Sus scrofa: one gene and its partners. The protein of the gene in region 1 binds, or shares a complex with, the protein of each later gene. Links are inferred from orthologs where the notes say so. Each region holds a gene or a part of one and is shown on either strand. Other genes may lie near its edges. The genes, in order: GPSM2, INSC, NUMA1 and FRMPD4.

Evidence for each region.
Region 2: the proteins of GPSM2 (region 1) and INSC are in contact, whole or in part, in a crystal structure (PDB 3RO3), measured with the Mus musculus proteins. The link is inferred for Sus scrofa from reciprocal best matches to the Homo sapiens genes GPSM2 and INSC. Residues at the interface, in NP_083798.2 of Mus musculus: Asn210, Tyr213, Leu214, Phe218, Arg242, Ser246, Asn247, Asn250, Ile253, Phe254, Tyr265, Gln283, Tyr286, Ser287, Asn290, Thr291, Thr293, Leu294, Arg323, Trp326, Ser327, Asn330; in XP_006507722.1 of Mus musculus: Val72, Asp73, Ser74, Val75, Arg77, Trp78, Met79, Asp81, Leu82, Lys83, Leu84, Met85, Thr86, Glu87.
Region 3: the proteins of GPSM2 (region 1) and NUMA1 are in contact, whole or in part, in a crystal structure (PDB 6HC2), measured with the Homo sapiens proteins. The link is inferred for Sus scrofa from reciprocal best matches to the Homo sapiens genes GPSM2 and NUMA1. Residues at the interface, in NP_001307967.1 of Homo sapiens: Ala28, Leu29, Glu32, Cys35, Lys36, Phe47, Lys59, Thr60, Ser62, Ala63, Ile64, Ser66, Gln67, Asn70, Ala71, Phe73, Asn110, Lys113, Tyr146, His153, Lys157, Pro164, Gln165, Arg203, Gly206, Asn207, Asn210, Tyr213, Leu214, Arg228; in NP_006176.2 of Homo sapiens: Ser1901, Phe1902, Tyr1903, Met1904, Gly1905, Thr1906, Cys1907, Gln1908, Asp1909, Glu1910, Pro1911, Glu1912, Leu1914, Asp1916, Trp1917, Asn1918, Arg1919, Ile1920, Ala1921, Leu1923.
Region 4: the proteins of GPSM2 (region 1) and FRMPD4 are in contact, whole or in part, in a crystal structure (PDB 4WND), measured with the Homo sapiens proteins. The link is inferred for Sus scrofa from reciprocal best matches to the Homo sapiens genes GPSM2 and FRMPD4. Residues at the interface, in NP_001307967.1 of Homo sapiens: Leu25, Ala28, Leu29, Glu32, Asp57, Lys59, Thr60, Ser62, Ala63, Ile64, Ser66, Gln67, Asn70, Phe73, Tyr74, His85, Asp88, Ala92, Gly100, Lys103, Asn107, Asn110, Thr111, Lys113, His128, Arg143, Tyr146, Asn147, Asn150, His153; in NP_055543.2 of Homo sapiens: Gln988, Leu989, Leu990, His991, Ser992, His994, Met995, Glu996, Met997, Glu998, Pro999, Glu1000, Thr1001, Met1002, Glu1003, Thr1004, Lys1005, Ser1006, Val1007, Thr1008, Asp1009, Tyr1010, Phe1011, Ser1012.

What each region holds. Positions count from the first base shown.
Region 1 is NC_010446.5:111,137,638-111,142,776, forward strand, and holds part of GPSM2 (G-protein-signaling modulator 2), read right to left. Parts: intron 3,688-5,139; coding exon 3,466-3,687; intron 3,081-3,465; coding exon 2,945-3,080; intron 2,607-2,944; coding exon 2,464-2,606; intron 1,432-2,463; coding exon 1,308-1,431; intron 1,183-1,307; coding exon 1,067-1,182; intron 1-1,066. UniProt on the Homo sapiens protein: Plays an important role in mitotic spindle pole organization via its interaction with NUMA1. Required for cortical dynein-dynactin complex recruitment during metaphase. Plays a role in metaphase spindle orientation.
Region 2 is NC_010444.4:44,011,317-44,016,972, forward strand, and holds the start of INSC (protein inscuteable homolog), read right to left. Parts: upstream 3,951-5,656; 5' UTR 3,858-3,950; coding exon 3,762-3,857; intron 1,482-3,761; exon of another isoform or gene 1,292-1,481; intron 1-1,291. UniProt on the Homo sapiens protein: May function as an adapter linking the Par3 complex to the GPSM1/GPSM2 complex. Involved in spindle orientation during mitosis. May regulate cell proliferation and differentiation in the developing nervous system.
Region 3 is NC_010451.4:6,599,793-6,604,931, reverse strand, and holds part of NUMA1 (nuclear mitotic apparatus protein 1), read left to right. Parts: intron 1-74; coding exon 75-215; intron 216-1,150; coding exon 1,151-1,273; intron 1,274-1,627; coding exon 1,628-4,987; intron 4,988-5,139. UniProt on the Homo sapiens protein: Microtubule (MT)-binding protein that plays a role in the formation and maintenance of the spindle poles and the alignement and the segregation of chromosomes during mitotic cell division.
Region 4 is NC_010461.5:8,622,698-8,628,489, reverse strand, and holds the start of FRMPD4 (FERM and PDZ domain-containing protein 4), read right to left. Parts: upstream 3,452-5,792; 5' UTR 3,247-3,451; exon of another isoform or gene 3,134-3,246; intron 1-3,133. UniProt on the Homo sapiens protein: Positive regulator of dendritic spine morphogenesis and density. Required for the maintenance of excitatory synaptic transmission. Binds phosphatidylinositol 4,5-bisphosphate.

The DNA of each region.
Region 1 (5,139 bases):
GTGGTGTAGGTGCAGACGCGGTCGATCCGCATTGCTGTGCTCTGGCTGGTGGCTACAGCTCTGATTCGACTACGGAACTCATACGTGGACGGAAGAAATAAGAAAACAAAAAAAAAAAAAAAAAAAAAAATAAATAAAAAAAAAAAAAAAAAAAAAAAAAATAAAAAAAAAGGATACTTCACATCTAACTAGCCAACCAACGAGTATCAACCATTAGTTGAAGGATGGGATGACATTCTAGTTAGACGGACCTAAAGCAATTTTACCTTTGTTTAGATGATAAACTTTTCAGAACTCTCTCACATTGGATTTTTTTAAACCACAAAATATAAATCAGTCACTGTGTCTTTGGTTCAGTCAAACTGGCTTTTGTCTAAGGTCTGTAAAAGCCTTCAATTCCTGGTAATTAGGGAAAACTGAACAACCTAGAAAGCATAGAGCAGGCAATATGAAGCAGTCTCAACTTGGCTATCATGTACTTTTCCCACCTACTGACAGGTTAGAAAGACCCTGCCTGCCAAGAAGCTGGGAGTGCTAACTCAGCTTGTTGCAAGGAGCAAACATGGGCAGAGAAGGTGGCAGAAGAACTCGATATGATGGTAGGATGATGGGGAAAATTCAGTGATCACTGGTGGAAACTTTCTTACCCAAACTATAATTGGAGGGGGGTTGGATATAAATATACACACCACATATGCTAAACAAGTTCATAAAACTTTAAAAGTTTAGAATCTCATTTTAAAACAATTAAAGATAAAAATTAATTAAAACGTAAAGAGGCCATACTGCTGCTATTAAATCTTAGGTACAGCAATATGTACTAAGCACCGTGTACCAGGTACTGTGCTAAATAAGTGCTTAATATATTCTTTCATCCAACCCTCACAACAATCCCCAAAGTGAAGTATGGGTATCTTCTGTTACAGCTGAGAAAATCAGGACTCAGAAAGCCCAAGGTCCTGCTGCTCATATGCAGCAAAAAGGCTTTAAATCTAAAGCCTATGATTTACCGGGTGGATTGCATAACTAGTCATTTTACATTTATCTACAGAAATGTTTGACTAACTTGTAGTATTCAGAGGCAGTTTCAAATTCACCAAGAAATATATATGCATTTCCAAGGTTGCTATAGGCTCTTCTTTCAGCTGCTTTATCTCCAAATTCTTTTGCAATAAGGAGACGCTGAAACAGAAAATTTTAATTAGATATAACTATTAAAAAAATACACAAAAAACTAAAGAATAATCTAATCATGGTTCAAAATTCTGATGGAGAAAATGACCTGGCTCCAAAGCCCTGCACTGTACCTGCTCATGAGCTATGACTGCATCCCGGAAGTTGCCAAGGAGGTAATGTGTGTTTCCAAGATTTCCAAAGGCACGTCCTTGGGCTGCTCGGTCACCCAAAGCAGTCACCAGTGATAGGTTTTCCCTACATGATAACAAAAAGTGAGAAAAAATACATTTGAGAAAAACATTGATTGATCTTACTTACAAATATAAAACTTTTGTTTTTCCTGCTTTGGCTGCATCTGCAGCATGTGGAAGTTCCCAAGTCAGGTTGCCAAAATCTACATCACAGGTGCAACAACACCGGATCCTTAACCCACAGAGACAAGCTGGATCATGAACCCACTGTGCCACAGCAGGAACTCCCAAATCTAACAGTTTGTATCAGGAAAAAAAATTTAAATAAGCGTACAGCCATAATGTACCATGTTTTAAAGATACAGCTGATTTACAATGTTATGTCAATTTCTGTTGCTCCTTTATTCTTTGGGTAGAGTTCATCTGTAAATGGTCAGAAGTCTTTCTGGAACTAAATTCAGTTACTAAAGTGGAATAATTGTGGAATTCCCATCATGGCTCAGCAAAAACAAATCTAACTAGCATCCATGAAAACACAGGTTCGATCCCTGACCTCGCTCAGAGTGTTAAGGATCCGGCATTGTTGTGAGCTGTGGCATAGATCGCAGATGCAGCTTGGATCTGACATTGCTGTGGCTCTAGCGTAGGCTGGCGGCTACAGCTCCAATTAGACCCCTAGCCTGGGAATCTCCATATGTTGCAGATGCAGCCCTAAAAAGACAAAAAAAGAAAAAAAGAAAAAGAAAGAAAATATATGTGCGTATGTGTAGGTTTCTGCCCAGAGTCCAGGACAGTGTTAATGTCATTAGACCCCTATAGCTAAGAAGTCTTACGAAATTGTATAGATAAAAGATGAAACTTAGTCTTAAATAACTGAGACTAACCAGTGATATTTCTCATTTGTACCACTAAGTGGCGCTGGTCTGCAGTTTAAAGTTTTCCTGCAGAAGAAGGGGTTTGCTACTAATATAACATTGTAACATTTTGAAAACATTTTGATGGTTTACTTGCTAGTCCATACTTTACAGCCCTTGCCAGACTTAAAAACTTAACTACTGGCTTGGGTGGGCCACATGGCTGCATCAGTGCTACTCACTCATAATAATCCACTGCTGCCTGCAGAGCGTTTCTGACTTCTTCTGGAAAGTCTCCTACGTCCTGAGGACCAGGGCAGCCAAAGCTTTTCCCTTTGGCATGATACACATTTCCAAGATTGTAAAGTGCTCTTGCTTCTCCTACCTAGATGAAGATATGAGTAGTTTACATTTTGAACCCAGAGGCCAGGAATTATAATGCTTATCACATATATTTATTTATAATATCCTTGATTTGACGGTCAAGAGAAAGAAATGTTTACATTAGCCATCCATATGACCTGTGAAAGAAGGACTTGTCACTATTTCCTTTTTCTCATCTCAAAAAATTTTTATTACATCTCTCTTTTTCTTCCATTTTTCTACAAATACTTTCTTTCTGGCATTAACTTTTAGATAAACTACAGAATGATTAAATGGGACTGAAATGCAAAGCAATTTCAATGAAACTTTCTGGCCTACCATCTAATACTGCCTCATTACCTTGTCATTTAGCTCTCTGGAAATATCTAAGTGTCGCTGACAACAAACCACCGCTTCATCAAAATTCCCAAGAACCTTTAAGGTGTTTCCCAGATTGCCACTAGCTTTGGCTTCCCCCAACCGGTCTCCAATAGTCCTGGGGAAAAGAAGAAAAGAAGATAGTGTGTGAAGATATTAACCAGCCAGAATCCAGTTTTCCCTAGAGAACAAATGACATGCTAAAAGTAAGAGAGACCCATTAGCCTTGAAACCTACTTTAAACAAAAATTTTAAACTTACATTTCTATATTTAAATTTAATTTGCATTCATTTAATTAAACTTTAGGGTCATTTCACCACTAGTGATCTGCTTTTAATTAAACTGTTCAGCCTAAAGATTAGTTTTACAATGCAATGCCAATGAATCAGAACTCACAAAATGCATTGTTAGCTTTTTTTTTTTTTTTTAATTGAATGAAAGTGTCTTTTAAAGTGACAGTTAATTTAGGGAGAAAGAGTATGAAAAAGCTGACATTAATTACCTCGCAAGAGTTAAATCATGATGATGGTATTCTAATGCTTTGGCATAATCATGCAAATAGAAATAAGCATTGCCCAGCTGGCTGTAAATAGCACTAAGGGTTTTTAGGTCTTCAGTTCCAACTTGAACTGCAGCTTCAAAGAATGACACACCAGCACGGCAGTCTCCTGATTTGCACAGACGCTCCCCTTCCAAGGCCAGTTCTAGGCAAGAAGCTTCCATTCTATAAAATTATATAAGACAAACATTTACAACATTGCAACTGCACCACAGTGTTCTTAACTTCCAGAAAATAATTTAAATGTGAACCATGGCTACTCTTGCTTAGAATAGCTGCCTCTATAATTGAAGTATATATATATTATTGATAAAAACTACTATTTACAGCAAAAGCTAATTTGCATCGTCAAATGCCTCTGAACCAAAAAGGTCTTTGGTATAGGATAGCTAAATATCTCTATATGGAGCTAATGAAATAAAATTTATTTTATGGCAAGATAGGAAAAATTTAAAGGGCCTCCTTCCGCCCCTTTAGCATGTTGGGTATCTGAGTTAACCAGACCTCCTTAGGAGACAACGTTCCTTCTTAATGTCACCAAGGGTCACAACTCCTTAGGAGAGAACTTTCCTTCTTAATCCTGTGCTATTTGCTCTGCATGTGTAGGGATGGATTGTGTCAGATGTCACTCTTATGTCACCTAATGGATGGTCCTCTGTTTCAAAAACTTCTATAACTGTGCTTTGACCTCAAGTGGTCAGAACAATTCCCAGAGCTTTCTGAGAGCAGTTCCTGGGTTAGAACACTCGGTTGGGCTTGAATAAAATTCTCCATTTCTTTCTTAGATCCACTGATTAATTTTTCATCAAGAGAGCTCATTTTAATTGGCCCAACCAGAGCAACCTACTTTACCAATGAGAGAACCTAAAGCAGTGTTTCCTAAATGATTCTTTGTCATAGCAGACTTACCGACCTCCTGAGAATTGGGGAGAATAGGGACCTGTGGTAGGTGAAGTCCCATAACTAATAAATACTCTTCTCTATCCAGGTGATCTATGCAACCAGTACATCAACCCCTCCTACCACACATCTCTATCTCAGACTCTTGTGTCTGTACATGCGCACACACTCAGTCTTTTAACACACACACATACATAACACACATACAACACACACACCTTCCTCTTCTTACCACCACAGGATCACCTATATTTTAGAAAGACAGAGGAAAAAAATATTCTGATGCACAAGGCACACTTCTTTGAGACCCCCAAGTGTCAAGAAACTTCATGTTAGAAAGCAATGCTTTGAAGATTTACAGAAATTATAATTCTCATAGTGCTCAAAGTTTGAACCTTAAGAGCCAGAAAAATTATTTTACTATAAATATATCCAGGAGAAAAAGCACCAATACTTTGGTTTCTAATCCTAAGCTGTAGTAGGTATCCTTTGCCAAAGTTGCTGTTGTGCTTCTTCAACATTTTCATGATTTCTGCCATGTCTATGTACTATATAATCACTCATTTAAATGTCTCTATAGTTTGGTGAATTCTTTTAAATTCGCACATGCTATTAAAAAAACCTAGCTTCATCTGAAGCAGTATTCATGAAATGTCAGTTTGATGTGATACTTATGTTTATTTTATAATGTACTTAAAATAAAAATGTAACTAATAA
Region 2 (5,656 bases), on another chromosome or scaffold:
TCTTTTTTTTTTTTTTTTTTTGTCTTTTTGCCTTTTCTTGGGCCGCTCCCACGGCATATGGAGGTTCCCAGGCTAGGGGTCGAATCGGAGCTGTAGCTGCCAGCCTACGCCAGAGCCACAGCAACGCAGGGTCCGAGCCGCATCTGCAACCTACACCACAGCTCACCGCAACGCCGGATCGTTAACCCACTGAGCAAGGGCAGGGATGGAATCCGCGACTTCATGGTTCCTAGTCAGATTCGTTAACCACTGCACCACGATGGGAACTCCTGACTTCAGATATGTTAAGATAGCTCTTAAGGTAGTATCTTAGACTTGTCCAAGGTGCCATATGTAGGCTAAAGGGAACCAAAAAGCGGGCCTAAGAGGCTGCAAGTCGGGCCAGGGGGTGCATGTGTGTGTATAAGCATGTTTGACACATGGAGGTGCCTGTTGCACATGTGTCACTGTCCTCAGGTGTACGTGCTGAAAGTGCATGAGTGTTTGCACAGCTGTCCTGAGACAGCATGAGTGGGAGTGGCCTGAGAGGGTGGAAGGTGTGCACACATGAGCAGCTGTGAGCATGTGGGTGTGGGCCCCCCGGTTGAGTGTTTGTGGGTGGGCATGGCTTTGCAGTCTGCTCATCCCCTTGTCCTCCTGCCCCCTCCTGGCATGACAAAGGGGCCATCTCTGTGCTGTCTCCCTGACCCTGGCCAGCCAGCAGGGCTTGCTCAGAACCCCACTCACTCTAGGGTTGACTCTGAGCTCCTGCCCTGCTCAGAGTCCTGAGAAACCAAAGCCACATGACCCACAGAGAAGACACCCCAGTTGGGGACAAGTCAGGTCACCCTAGAAAGTTTGCGTTCAGATAACATTCCTTACCCGCCAACTTCTGCCTTCATCAGCTCAGTCACATGCATCCAGCCATTGATACACACTTGCTCAGCCCTGGTGGAGCCTGCCTACCACACACACCTGAGTCTGCACTTCCAAGAATACAGACACAGCCCACACGGACAGCGTGTGCCACCCTGACACACATGCCACCTGGGGGCACACTCCAGGCCCCCCTACACTAAGTCCACCAGACACACACTGACACACTCTCACCCATATTCACTCTCTGGGACATATGCTAGAAACTTCCATATGCTCAGGTACTGGCCCAGACACACTCCCTCCCACTAAAGTTCACCCCCACTCACAAGCACTCACACTGACACACTTACACCTAAATCCGAATAGTCCCCAAGCATGCTCTGTCCCAGACTAGGCTGGGCCCAGAATGCAGTCCAGGAGCGCGCCTACTTACTCTGACGGAGCGAGAGAGCCTGCGAGCAGCTGCGTGCAGCGGCCAGGCCGGCGGTGGCAGGCGCAGCTGGGGCGCCAGAGGCTGTAAGCAAGTGACCCGCCCGGCCGGCCCAGCCCGAGGGCCGCCCGCTGCCCCGCGCCTCCGCCCCGCTCTGCCCCCGCCCGCCAGCAACAGCGCGCTCCGGGCCAAGCCTCTGTCCCGCGTCAGCCACCAATGCCTGGAGTCTCAGCCGGCCGCGAAGCTATTTTGGTGCCCCTGGCAGCGGAGACCTCGCGCTCTTGGCTGTGGGGAGCGCTGGAATGGGGACGCGGTCAGGTCTAATTAGAGACCTGGCTCACTAGGAGCCTCGGAGCCGTCCTGGCGGGGGTGCCCACATGTGCCCCACATGCCAACATCTGGAGAGGGAAGGGAATGCGCCGATCCTTTCCCTTGGAGCTGAAACAAAACAAGGAGGGGTTTGGGTGCAGTTCACAAGCCCTGCGGGGGAAGCCTCTGAACTTTGAGCCGCCCCCCAAACTCCTGAATTCCGCTTGATTTATTCACCGCAGGTGCTTTCCTTTGGAACCCGAGCTGCTCACATAAGACGGCCTACCTGACAAAAAGGACAGAAGATGCTTGTAGGGACTCCTTCTAACTTGAGGCACATCAAACTTTCCCTCTGGACTTCTTTGTATCAGATGGCCAAGTCTAGAGAGGAAGTCTGATTCCTACCCAAAAGCTCAGGAATGTTGCATTCTTGAGCTAGAAGGAGGCTGCAAGGTCATTCCATCCAATTCCCTCCACCCTGCCATGAATTCCGCAGGGGGCCTGGAGGGCCTCTACCCACTCTTGGGGATCTCCAAGGAAGAGCAGACCTTAGCCTCCCTTGGGCACTGTCCCCAATCTTGAATCAGTTCATCAGCAGGAAGTTCTCCTTGGCGTCTAACCTAAATCCCTCCTGTGCAAACTCCTCCTGTGCAATATTCTTGCACATTGTGTTGCAGGACAGGAAAACCAGCTGCATCTCCAAGACACAATGACCACTCCAAAGTCCCATCTCAGCCTCTCTTCCTTGATGATAAAGTCCTTGTTCCCTTTTTCAGGCCTTGGCTAAAAAGGATGCCTGCTTCCTGGCCCTGGACACATTGCAATTCCTGACATTAAATCAACTGCCTCAGGCATTCCCATCATGGCTCAGCAAAAACAAATCTGACTAGCATCCATGAGGGCACAAGTTCAATCCATGGCCTCGCTCAGTGGGTTAAGGATTCAGCATTGCCATGAGCTGTGATATAGGTTGCAGATGTGGCTCGGATCCCGAGTTGCTGTGGCTGTGGCATAGGCTGGCAGCTACAGCTCAGATTCTACCCCTAGTCTGGGAACATCCATATGCCTCCGGTACAGCCCTAAAAAGACAAAAACAAACAAACAAACAAACAAAACTGCTTCAGCTTTCCGGGGACCTCAGGTTCTATAGGAGCCCAAGGCATTCCCTTCAGACAAGCCAGCTTGACTGCAGCCTCCATCCATTCATCTGCTCCCTAGACTCTTGAGAGGGGCTTCAGTTTCTACCTCAGCAAAGACTGTCTCAGGGCCTGGAAACACAGTTTGGGCCCCCAGCACCTACCTGGCTGGGCATTAACACTGAAGCTATAGCCTTCCTCAAATAGGTAAAGTTTCCAGAATCTTCAAGTCTATTTCTGGTAAGACAGGTAGTGTTTAAAAAAAAAACATCTGTATAGCCTGGACATTTTCCTCAAAGAAAACTGACTTTGTATCCTGCCTCTTTGCTTTTTTTTTTTTTTTTTTTTTTTTTTTTTTGCTTTTTAGGACAACACCCGTGGCATACAGCAGTTTCCAGGCTAGGGGTCAAATTAGAGCTAGAATTAGCTACAGGCACCTGCACCAGCACCACAGCAATGGCAGATCCGAGCCGTGTCTGCGACCTCCACCACAGCTCACGTTAACACGGGATCCTTAACCCATTGAGCAAGTTCAGGAATCGAACCTACAACCTCATGGTTCCTAGTCGGATTTGTTTCCACTGCGCTACAATGGGAACTCTGTGCCACTACTACTTTCTAGCTGTGTGACCTTGGACAAGTCACTTAATTTCTCTGAGGCTCAGTTTTTCAGTGGGGATCATAATAACCTCGGCCTAGCTAATACATTACTGAAAGAATAACATGAGACTGGGAATATAAAGGTTTCTGGAAAGGTGTATTTTTCAGTATGATTGAGATAGAATGAGGCTTAGATCATAAGTACAGTCAGTATTAGCAAAAAAGCCTCAAGGATCTTTCATTTCCAGGTCCAAATTCGGTGCCTGAGTTTCAGGACAAGACAGGAACAGACTTGGTTTGCTAGATGGTCCCTTAGGACACTTGGTATGGATGTCCTCCTCCCTGCATTCATGAATACACTCACACACTCATGCATGTACACACGCCCACGTGCACACACATACCCATCCATGTTCCCAGATACATACAGTACAGCACAGCCTCCTGGGCTCTTGTCGGCCCCATAGGCCCCAGCCGCTTATACCCTTGCTGGCCATCTCTCCATTCCCAGGGGGCCTCCTCATGGCTGCAGCAAATCCAAGTCTCCTTACAGAAGCCCCTGCAGGCAACTCCTATCTCCTTGCCCATCCTGGGCCATGGCCCCAGCAAGGCCTGCGATCCCAGGCAAAGGTGGAAGAGACCTTCTCCAAGGCAGCTCAGAGCTGAGGCTGTGGAGGGAGCTCAGAGGTGGAGCATCCTCCCCCTCGACCCCCTCCCCTCTGCCTGCCTGGCTTCCCAGCACTGTCCTGCTTAATTCTTAATGGAAATTCCATCCCCAGCACCGGCCCTGGCTGGCTCAGAGAGTCCAGGCTTGGGCCAACAGCAGACTCCACCCAGAGACAGGAGGCCTGCCTGGCCCTATAAACACAGACACACTCATGTTCACATACATGAGTACGCACGCAGCAGACACACGTGCCCTGTCCTTCACAAACTCAGAGAGGCTCACCCAGAGACAGACACAGAAAGATAATACGCACTATAATCACTGGCATTTATTGCATCATGCAAAGCTTTTCGTAGGTATCAACTTCCCAAATCCTCAAGATGCCACTGGGTTCGAGGACGACTTAGCTCTTAGCCCTAATTTGCATGCGAGCAAACTGAGGCACAGGGAGGTGAAGCAACTCGCATTAGGCAACTAGTATTAATAGCCTAACACACGAGCACAGAAACCACACTCAGGGGCATTTTGCATTGTCATTTTGCCACCATAGTAACTTGTGGTGGAAGTTATTCCTACTCCCATTATACAGACAAGGAAAGTGGAGGCCAGATGGTTTAAATCACCACCTGTGGCCTCAGCTTGCGAGATGAAGGGAGGTCCTACACAGATATGCATGGGAGCTCTCATGGGGGAACAGGGAGACACACAGATAAAGAAACACATGCATGGAGGGGCACAACCACAGAAAGTTTCCCCTACCAAACTAGAAGCCACAGGAATGGTCCAGATCTGCGTCAGGCAAAGGTCCCCTCTAGCCTAACCCTATGTTCTTCTTCCCTCTCAAATGGCCCATTCCCGCTCCACTGACTTCACAGGTTACTTCAGGAAGGACACACTAGATCTAACTGGAGGGCAGATTTCAGGTTTACAGTCAGCCAGCCTCAGCTCCAAATCCAGTTTGCCCAGCATAGCCCACATGGTCACTGGAAGAAGTCTCAGATGCTCTTTGGAAGGGATCATGAATGATGCAGGTTCAAAGACTCTGGGCACCGTCAGGGGCTGGCCGAGGAGAGCTCCTAGCCCCGAGGCCCAGATGAGGCTGCACAGGACCCGCAGGACATGTCATGGCACATGAGCCCGGGCCTTGGCAGAACAGAGCATGGATTGCCAGAGGGAGCTGGAGCCACACTGCCAAGAGGTGGCAAGACTGTGGAGGGAGGGCATGGACCCATGACGGGTCAGGGCCCTGATAAAAGACAGAGCCCTGGGCACTGGGGGAATAGGCCGGCAAAAGAAGAGAACAGAAGGATTTAGCACTCCGGGAATTAATCTACTGCTGGAAGTCTCTAGGCTAAGCTGGACATCTCCCAGCAGGGGCCGTGCTGGCCCTCAGCTTCCTCCCCAGCAGCCCCAGTAGAGAATGCCCAGGAAGGCCTACTATAGCCAGGGCGATCTCTATTGTCTCTCACGGTTTCCCACCCCATCCCCATCCCAGAATTCCCCAACTGTTCCTGCTGTCACAAGCCCCTCCATTCTGTGACCCAAGGACAGCTCAGCATGGCAGCCTTGAAGGCATTTGCATTAGAAAGGAGTTTTTCCAGACTTAACTCCTACAATTGCCTCCGGAGTCCTGTGGTTAGGCAGTGGCTCTAAGAG
Region 3 (5,139 bases), on another chromosome or scaffold:
ACATCAGTGGGCGTCAGCAGTGGTGTTGGCAGTTTTTCCCCTGGGTGACGGGGGTTCCCTCTCGTCTCTCTCAGCTGCGGGAGTTTGCCAGTCACCTGCAGCAGCTCCAGGGGGCTCTCAATGACCTGACGGACGAGCACAGCAAGGCCTCTCGGGAGTGGGTGGAGAAGCAGGCCCAGCTGGAGAAGGAGCTCGGCGCAGCTCTGCAGGACAAGGTAACCCTGCCTTCGGGAGTCAGGGCCACCATCTGAGCCACGCTCGGAGCCGGTTCCGTGTACGCTCTACCGCATGGGGCCTTTGGGGACTACCCTGCCCTCGCTTTGGGGCTTGGTAGCGTGCTCTAGTGGCCTCAGGCTGGTCCACCCGCAAGTCTTGTTTTGTCCGCTGTTCACAAGGTGAGACCTTGCACAAGTTTCTTGCCCTCTTTCTCTCTAAGCACCTTTCCCTAAAATGGGAAAAAGCCTGGGCAGCTTCCTCGGTGTCCGTGGTAAGCCAGTGCATACGAGCACTTGATGCGCATTGCCCGCTGGTGCGCCTTCAGTGACTTCGCTGTGGTTATTTTTGCTGTGAAGAGCTCAGCTCTGCCGCTCACTAAGAACCACGTAGCCCTGGGGCAGGGCCCCTAACATCCGGCTTCAGATGCTTTCTCTGTAAAGAAGGGCTTGTAGTTGCTACCTCCCAAGTCCGATGGGTGGCTTAGGACGTCAGAGACGCAGCCAGCACGGGGCCTGGTCATTGTAGGCGCTTAGTGACCAGTGGGACAAAGGGGATGGGGTTGCTGTGGCCGTGCTGCCGTTGATGCTCAGATGGTCAGGATGTTTTGAAGCTGGTGGGGGTTTGGATACTCTGAGAGCCAGAGCGTGGCAGAGGAAGGGTGTACAGTGAGGAAATTTGAAATAAACTCGGCAGCCTTGGAGAAGAAGCAGCAGCAGGTCATCTGACTTAATCCTCCTCTGGCACCAGGACTGGGAAGTCGGGTCTCCCGTGGACCTAGATCCTTGCTTTCTGCCCGTTCCCCCGGGTGAGGGCCAGAGGTGGTCCTGGTAGCCAGGCGATAGGGTCCCAGATTCTATTGCTGTTCTTGGGGCTTGTGTGCTCGTCTGCCGCTTCTTGCACGTCTATTCACACGGGGGCTCTTGTTTACTCCCAGAAATGCCTCGAGGAGAAGAATGAAATCCTTCAGGGAAAACTCTCACAGCTGGAAGAACATTTGGCCCAGTTGCGGGAGAACCCACCCCGGGAGAAGGGTGAGGTGCTGGGCGACATCTTGCAGGTAGGGTGAGGGGGTCTGTGTGCTGGGGTGCACGTGGGGGTGTCTTTGTGCTGGGGTGCAGGCGGGGGCTCTGTGCTGGGGTGCATGTGGGGTGTCTTTGTGCTGGGGTGCAGGTGGGGGCTCTTTGTGCTGGGGTGCATGTGGGGGTGTCTTTGTGCTGGGGTGCAGGCGGGGGGCTGTGTGTGCTGAGGTGCATGTGGGGGCATCTTTGTGCTGGGGTGCAGGCGGGGGCTCTGCTGGGGTGCTGTGGAGCCATGTTCATCATGTTCAGGTTCCTGGACCATCTCAGTCCCCAGAGGGGCCAAGGGGACTGAGGAGTCATGCTGATGCCCACTTGTCTCTTTATCTCACCAGCTGGAAACTCTCAAGCAAGAGGCAGCCACTCTGGCTGCAGATAACACTCAGCTCCAGGCCAGGGTGGAGGCGCTGGAGACCGAGCGGAGCCAGCGGGAGGCCAAGCTACTTGCTGAGCGGAGCCACTTTGAGGAGGAGAAGCAGCAGCTGGCCGGCCTGATTGCCGAGCTCCAGGGCTCCCTGTCCAGCCTCAGCCGGGCCAAGGAGGAACTGGAGGAGGCGTCTCAGGCGCAGGGGGCCCGGCTGTCTGCCCAGGCGGCCGCGCTGACCTCTGAGCTCGAGGCCCTCAACGCTGCCCTCCAGCAGCGGGATCAGGAGCTGGCCAGCCTGAAGCAGCAGGCCCAGACAGAGCAGGCGCAGCTGGCACACTCCCTCCAGCAGCAGGAGCAGGCCTCGCAGGGCCTCCGCCAGCAGGTGGAGCAGCTGAGCAGCAGCCTGAAGCAGAAGGAGCGGCAGTGGGAGGAGGCTGCTAAGGAGCAGGAGGCCGCCCGGCGAGAGCACGCCCAACAACTGGCCGCCGTGGCCGAGGAGCGGGCCGCAGCCCGCCAGCAGCTGGAGGCGCTGGAGAAGGAGAAGGCTGCTGCGCTGGAGGTCCTGCAGCAGCAGCTTCAGGTTGCCAGTGAGGCCCGAGACGGCGCCCAGACCTCGGTGGCACAGGCCCAGCGGGAGAAGGCCGAGCTGAGCCAGAAGGTGGAGGAGCTCCACGCCTGCGTGGAGGCGGCCCGCCAGGAGCAGTGTGAGGCCCAGGCCCAGGTGGCGGAACTGAAGGCCCAGCTGAGGTCTGAGCAGCAGAAAGCGACTGAGAACGAGAAGATGGTCCAGGAGCAGGTCCGGGCCCTCGAGGAGTCCTTGAAGGTCGGCCAGGGCCGCCTGGAGGAGGAGACGCGCAGGGCCGCGGGCGCCCTGGAGGAGCAGCAGCGCTGTATCTGCAGGCTGGAGGCCGAGACCCGGAGCCTGGCCGAGCAGCGCAAGCAGGAACAGAAGGAGCTGGAAGAAGAGAAGGCTGGGCGCAAGGGGCTGGAGGCCCGATTGCAACAGCTCGGGGAGGCCCATCAGGCCAAGACAGAAGCCCTGCGGCAGGAGCTGGCCGAGGCCCTGGCCTCCCGGCGCGAGGCTGAGAGCGAGTGTGAGCAGCTCGCCAAGGAGGTGGCTACCTGGCGGGAGCGCTACGAGGACAGCCAGCAGGAGGAGGCGCAGTACGGCGCCATGGTCCAGGAACAGCTGCTGACTCTGAAGGAGGAGTGCGAGAAGGCCCGCCAGGAGCTGCAGGAGGCCAAGGAGAAGGTGGCAGGGATCGAGGCCCACAGCGAGCTCCAGATAAGCCGCCAGCAGAGCGAGCTCGCTCAGCTCCACGCCAGCCTGGCCAGGGCTCTGCAGCAGGTCCAGGAGAAGGAGGCCCGGGCCCAGAAGCTCGCAGACGACCTCTCCGCTCTGCAGGAGAAGATGGCGGCCACCAGCAAGGAGGTGGCCCGCCTGGAGGCCTTGGTGCGCAAGGCAGGCGAGCAGCAGGAGCCGGCCTCGCGGGAGCTGCTCCAGGAGCCGCCCAGGGCAGGGGACAGAGAGTCAGAGTGGCTGGAAGAGCAGAAGGGCCGCCCCTTCTGCAGCACGCAGGCGGCCCTGCAGGCCATGGAGCGAGAGGCAGAGCAGATGGGCAGCGAGCTGGAGAGGCTGCGGGCTGCGCTGATGGAGAGCCAGGGGCAGCAGCAGGAGGAGCGTGGGCAGCAGGAGAGGGAGGTGGCGCGGCTGACCCAGGAGCGGGGCCGGGCTCAGGCCGACCTTGCCCTGGAGAAGGCCGCCAAGGCGGAGCTTGAGATGCGGCTGCAGAACGCCCTCAATGAGCAGCGGGTGGAGTTTGCCGCCCTGCAGGAGGCACTGGCCCACGCCCTGAGGGAAAAGGAAGGCAAGGACCAGGAGCTGGCCCAGCTTCGCGAGCAGGAGGCGGCCCAGGGGGCAGCGCTGAAGGACCTTCGGCAAACCGTGGAGCACCTGAGGGAACAGCTGGCCGAGAAACAGGAGGCGCCCCCGCAGTGTCCAGGGACCGCCGGCCGAGAAAATGCTCCTGGGTTGGGAGCCCAGTCCGAGGCCACTGGAAAGACCGAGCAAAAAGGCCCTGAGCTGGAGGTCCTGCGGGCAGAGGTGGGCAGCCTGGAGCAGCAGGTCCGCGAGCATCAGGAGAAGGCCTCCAGCCTGGAGCGCAGCCTTGAGGCCGAGCGCGCCTCCCACGCCGAGCGGGCCAGCGCTCTGGAGACGCTGCGGGGCCAGTTGGAGCAGAAGGCCCAGGAGCTGGGGAGCACTCAGGACGCCTTAGCCTCAGCCCAGAGGGAGCTGGCCGCCCTCCGCGCCAAGGCCCAGGAGCACAGCACGGCCGAGGAGGAGTGGAAGGCCCAGGTCACGCGGGGCCAGCAGGAGGCCGAGCGGAAGAGCAGCCTCATCAGCAGCCTGGAGGAGGAGGTGTCCATCCTGAACCGCCAAGTGCTGGAGAAGGAGGGCGAGAGCAAGGAGTTGAAGCGGCTGGTTGCCGCTGAGTCGGAGAAGAGCCAGAAGCTTGAGGAGAGGCTGCGCCTGCTCCAGGCGGAGACAGCCAGCAGCAGCGCCAGGGCTGCGGAACGAAGCTCGGCTCTGCGGGAGGAGGTGCAGACCCTCCGGGAGGAGGCAGAGAAGCAGCGGGTGGCTTCCGAGAGCCTGCGGCAGGAGCTGGCCTCGCAGGCAGAGCGAGCGGAAGAGCTGGGGCAAGAGTTAAAGGCCTGGCAGGAGAAGTTCTTCCAGAAGGAGCAGGCCCTCTCCGCCCTGCAGCTCGAGCACACCAGCACGCAGGCCCTGCTGAGCGAGCTGCTGCCCGCCAAGCACCTGTGCCAGCAGCTGCAGGCCGAGCAGGCAGCCGCTGAGAAACGCCATCGGGAGGAGCTGGAGCAGAGCAAGCAGGCCGCCGGGGGGCTGCGGGCGGAGCTGATGCGGGCTCAGCGCGAGCTTGGGGAGCTGGTGCCCCTGCGGCAGAAGGTGGCAGAGCAGGAGCGAGCGGCCCAGCAGCTGCGGGCAGAGAAGGCCAGCTACGCGGAGCAGCTGAGCATGCTGAAGAAGGCTCACGGCCTGCTGGCGGAGGAGAACCGGGGGCTGGGCGAGCGGGCCAGCCTCGGCCGGCAGTTTCTGGAAGTGGAGCTGGACCAGGCCCGGGAGAAGTATGGTCAAGAGCTGGCCGCTGTGCGTGCTGACGCTGAGACCCGTCTGGCTGAGATGCAGCGCGAAGCGCAGAGCACTGCCCGGGAGCTGGAGGTGATGACTGCCAAGTACGAGGGTGCCAAGGTCAAGGTCCTGGAGGAGAGGCAGCGTTTCCAGGAGGAGAGGCAGAAACTCACTGCCCAGGTGAGGCCCCCGGCTCAGCTGCACCCGCAGAGAGCAGCGCGGAGAGGGGGAGTTGGTCCCTCTGCGCCCCTGGGCCTCCGGTGCTCTCGTTAGCGCGAGCGCCTCGTCCCCCCTCACCGGGGGAGAAGCCCGTGCCCTCCGTTGTCCTGCAG
Region 4 (5,792 bases), on another chromosome or scaffold:
AAATATTCTGAAGCCATGGTGGAAGGGTTTACTAAAGTGTTCTGAAGACACAGAGTTCAAAATCCAGAACATAGGAATCTCTTGATTCCCATCTTAGTAGAAGATTTTCCCCCTAATGTAAAGATGCAAATCGAGGAAAAAGTAGTTGGATGGCTGGGTCAAAGTCTAGATGCCATGCGGATTGCAACACAACTGTACTTGTCTTAGAGATTGTGTTTTTACAAGAACGGAAATGCAGCTCTAGAAACAATTCAAAGCCTGCCTGGCCTTTTTAACCAATCCCCAGTCTCTCCTACTCACATCAAAAGGCTTGCAGATGCTTTAAAAAAAAAAAAAAAAAAAAAAATAGGTGGATTTGGAAAGTAAAAACCCTTCTTGGAGAAATGTGAGATATAAATGTTCTACCTGGTCTCTAGGAACCCAGAACCAAGTCATGGTATGCAAATTTGAGGCAGATAATTCTTATCAGGAGGAGGGGGAGGGGAGGAGAGGGAGGAGAGAGAGAGGAGGAGGAGGAGGGGAAGGATAAACCGCTCTTTGGAACTGAGGTGAATGAAAAATCTTAAAGGTTTTCCCCACAAATATCAATACAAGCTTTAGCCATCTGAGCAGGTAACCTTAACTTATTCTATCTGCCAGAAATACAATTTGTATCCAACCATGCTTCTATAAACTAGTAGGCTTTGCATCACTGTATCTATCTCATGGCTAAAAATTTGAAAGAAAAGCTCTAAGATCTCTGCATCTGTCTGTCTTTTTATGTATGTATGTGACAGATGTGGGATATTTTTCTACCTCTGGATGGCACAGCTAAAATTAATTTGTAAGGAGCTCTATTTAATAGGCTTAAAAACAAAACAAATTATATACATCAAGTATATGCTCAGAAATATAAAAACCAGCACTAGTGTTTTTCAAGTTCATGTGATCTAGGACAATCTGTGATAAATTAAAGCTCATTTAAGTTTGTTGGTTTCATTAAAACAGGCATGTCTTTAGCGTTATTACCATTAACTAGAATACTTTTATCCTCCCTAGGTTAACCAAAGTCAAATAAGGTCATATAATCTCTGTTACATAATTTGTCAGCAGGAAAGGTAACTTAAGATGACAGCTGGCTATTCAATGTCTCATGAAATTTTCATGAGTAATCTAAACATAATTGTTAAGAACAAGCCAATTAAAGAAGTATTAGTAAGATAAAAGTTTGTAAATGTACTTTTCAGCAATAATCTTGCTTTATGGCATGTCTTCTTAAAAACAGTTTCCATAGTTACTGTGGAGGTATGGAGGTTCCTTTAAAAACTAAAAACAGAGTTATCACGTGGTCAGCAATCCCACTCCTGGGCATCTAGACAAAGAAAACTCTTAATTCAAAAAGATACATGTTACCTTTTAAAATTGCACTCACAAAATCAAATACCTCAAAAAGATACATGCACCCCCAAGGTTCAAAGCAGCACTACTTACAATAGCCAAGAGGTGGAAACAACCGAAATGTCCATTGACAGATGAATGGATAAAGAGAAATGTCCATTGACAGATGAATGGATAAAGATGTGGTACATATCTACAATGAAATACTACCCAGCCATATAAAAGAACAAAATAATGCCATTTGCAACAACATGGATGCAACTAGAGATAATCATACAAAGTGAAGTAAGTCAGACAAAAACAAGTATCATATGATATCATTTATATGTGGAATATAAAAAATGATATAAATGAACTTATTTACAAAATAGAAACAGACTCATATATAGAAAACAAACTTAAGGTTACCAAAGGGGAAAGGGGTGGGGAAGGAATAAATTAGGAGTTTGGGATTAACAGGCACACACGACTATACATAAAATAGATAAACAACAAGGTCTGACTGGCACAGGGAACTATATTCAGTATCTTGTAATAACGAAAAATGGAAAAGAATCCAAAAAAGAATATATAGCATATATATGTATATACATATATAATATCTATATACATATCTATAATATCTATATACATATCTATATCTCTATATAAAACTGAGTCACTTGCTATACTCCAGAAACTAACACAACATTGTAAACCAACTATACTTGAATGGAAAGGAAAAGAGGAAAAAATAGTTTCCAAAATCTTTTTGGCAACTGAAAATTTTAAAGTTATACTGAGATTAGTTAAATGATGGCTATTCAATGAATATCTAGATCATTTCCAAGTAAGTTAAAATAGTGAAACGTTAATTACTGAGTATAGGTTTATCCACTTTGGGCTTTCTTTTACAGAGGAACTAAAGCTATTGGATTCTTTCAGTAAACATGTTTGTGCCACAATGAAAAATTACTAAGAGGAAGAATATACTTCTGGAAATTGTGAAACATATTTATAAATTTGCCAATCCACAGAAGGCTAGTGTAACAGTCCACGCTGCTTACTTCTTAGTTTTCACTAGGAATAAAGGATTCCAAGGATTAAGAATTCTAATAAACATATGTGATGTAGTTAAAACTACTTGGAACTAATGGAGGTGAGAGGAAACAACTGTGACCCTGTAAACTGAACCGGGTCCCAAATTCTTCTGGTTTCCTCAAACATCTGGCTACGACTCTCCAAACTCGTGCTTCCAGTTTTCCCCCACCCTTCTGATGAGGCATCCCTGAAAACAACGGCTGCCCTTGAACCTCCTCGGAAGGGGTGATACCACGTCCTTCTCACTACCCAGATGGCAGCCAGATTTTAGGGGACTGAACCTAGGTACGCATTCCCCATTTACAGAGGGCTTCCCCAGACCCCTGGAACTACCCACACACCAGCTGGAGATGTGACATTCAAAGTGACTAGGGAGGGTCCTCCCCGGAAGAGATGGCATCTTGAGGGGGACAGCTCAAGATCTTCATCTCCGGGATGAGATCGCCTCTTCACCTCGGGATTCCTTGTGCCTTCCCGCTACTGGCTTTTTCTCTCTGTCACTGCGTGGGGAGGCAATGCTCCTTAACGCTGACAGTGATCGCTGCTAATGTCATAGCTACACAGCGGAAGTCCCTGGACTTTCTTGCTAAGGAGGCTGAGACAACAGAATTGCTTTTGATTACTTGTTGGCTGAACAAGGAGGACTCTGTGCCATAGCTAATACCCCCTGCAGTACCTGGATCAACACCTCTCATACCGTAGCAAATAGAGGAAATCAACAAACGAGCCGCTTGGCTAAAACAGGTTGATGGCCCTTCAGGTGCATTCTTTGATTTATCTGACACTAACTGGTTTGATCCACGGGGCCCCGGTGAAGGAGTGTACTTTACTCTCTTGGTACCATCCTCCTAAGAGTCATCACGGTCGACCCCCTGGTGTGCTACGTTCTCTCAAGGTCTCAAATGCATGTTCACGGCCATCAGCAGTGCATCAGATGGTCTCACTGAGCTTAGAGAAACAGAAACAAGATAAAACACGAGGTGAGTAGCAAAAATAATTCTTATGCAGATCAGACATCATAACCTACAAGTTTCACAATGAGACAAGAACAACTTAACTCTATTGGCAACTGAAAGTGGCACTAATACTAATTTTTTGGTCAGTATCTCACCTATGAGAAGATGATCAAAAAGGGGGAATTGTTGAATTAATTAAACAAAGAGGCCATTAGACTGAGGTGACTCTAATGCCTTGGCAACCGAGGTAAGCAAACCAAAATCTAAGCCTAAGGCTCTTAAGTTCCTCAAGGGTATGAAATTAAAATGCTAAGGAGAACCAATCACAAACAGCCAACTAGGCTCTAAGCAACAGCCAATAAATACTTTCTTTTCTCTGCGTCCCCTTTTCACTCTATAAAAGAGCTCCTGTTGGCGGAGTACTCCTAATCATTTCCAGGTTGGCACTGCCCTATTCCAGTTGATTTTTGCTCAAATAAACTCTTTAAAAATTTTAATATGCCTCAGTTTATCTTTTAACAATCCTAATAATATCTCTTCACCTATTTGTCTCTTTTTTCTCAGGAGTGCTGTAAAGTCAAAACTTTGCATATAACTTTACAGTCGGCCCTCCATGTCCACAGTTCCTTGTCTGTAGAATCAACCAAGTGCAGATCATGCAGCACTGTAGTATGCATTTACTGGGGAAAATCCAGTATAAGAAAGACCCACATAATTCAAACCCCTATTATTCAAGGGTCAACTGTATATCCACAATTAATACCAAGAAATAAAATCATTAAACGTCTTTAAGTTGTTTGAGAGTCCCATGGCAGAGATTTAACTGTGACTAGAGAATCTTGTAAATTTTTCAATTAAAAAAAAAAACCAGCAGTGAAAGATTAATCTGTTTTCATGCCCAAGAATAACCAGGAATTTGAGCTTTACAGAAAGCCCTTAAAGCTTATCCCAGCTCACCTGCAGCAATGAAGAAAACATCTATTCCTAAGTTTCTTGAGGAAAAACCCAACTGACATCTAAAACTTTTATCTCTTTGGTGAGTTCATTTATCATCAGGTTTCAAGAACCTCATAAGATGCTTCCAAGACAGAAACATTTCTCCAAGACAATTCATCTCTTTTAAATATCATTAAAGTGTGACTGGCACAGAATCTTAAGGAGCTGACATCCAGAGGGAGAAGAACATATTACTAATGGCTACTCAGGTGCCAACTTACTCTAAGTTGCCAACTCTCTTTCCCAGGAAAACCAAGTATATCTAAGCAAAAGGAATTTTGATGATAATCAGGAGACATTCTCTGGCATCAAAAAAAGCTGCCTGGCAAGAGATGACTCAGGATTGCAAATGTCACCTGAGTCATAGAATGGCTTCAACTATGCAGTCCAGATACACCCTAAACAAAGGTGAACATCAGGCCAAGATCCCATAGAAAATTATCCACCAAGAAGTTCTTCTCCTTACAACCAGACTGCAAAAGATAAGTAACCCAAGAAATGGTAACCATGTGTGATCATTTGCTTAGAACAGACAGTCAAGAAACATGGCAGAAAACAATAAAGAGAAAGAGAAAACAATAAATTGAGAGATTATTCTTTTGAAAACACATGCCTAGTGTTGTAGGCATGTATGTGTTCTTAATTTTACTTTGTCCTGAGGAGAATCCCTGTTGCATTTAATTGCCAATTTCACTTATTTAAGTCAATAATAATTCTTGGAGAGACAAAAGACCTGTACTCTGAAAACCTTAAGATGTGGCTGAAAGAAATCAAAGATGACACAAACAGATGGAAAGATACACCATGATCTTGGATTGGAAGAATCAATATTGTCAAAATGACTACATTACCCAAGGCAATCTACAGATGCAATGAAATCCCTATCAAATTACTGATGGCATTTTTCACAGAACAAGAACAAAAAATGTTTCAATTTGTATGGAAACACAAAAGACCTCAAATAGCCAATCCTCAGAAAAGAAAAAAAGAGGAATCAGACACCCTGACTTCAGACTATACAATAAAAGCTATGGTCATCAAAATAGTATGGTACTGGTACAAAATTGGAAATATAGATCAATAGAACAGGATATAAAGCCCAAAAATAAATCCATGCACCTACAGTCAACTAATATATGACAAAGGAGGCAAGAATATACGATGGAGAAAAGACACTCCATTCAATAAGTGGTGCTGAGAAAACTGGACAGCTACATGTAAAAGAATGAAATTAGAATAATCTTCTAACGCATGCACAAAAATAAACTCAAAATGGAGTAAAGAACTAAATATAAGACCTAATTCTATAAAACCTTTAAAGGAAAACATACACAGAACACTCTCTGGCATAAACCACAGCAATATCTTTTCGGATACACCTCC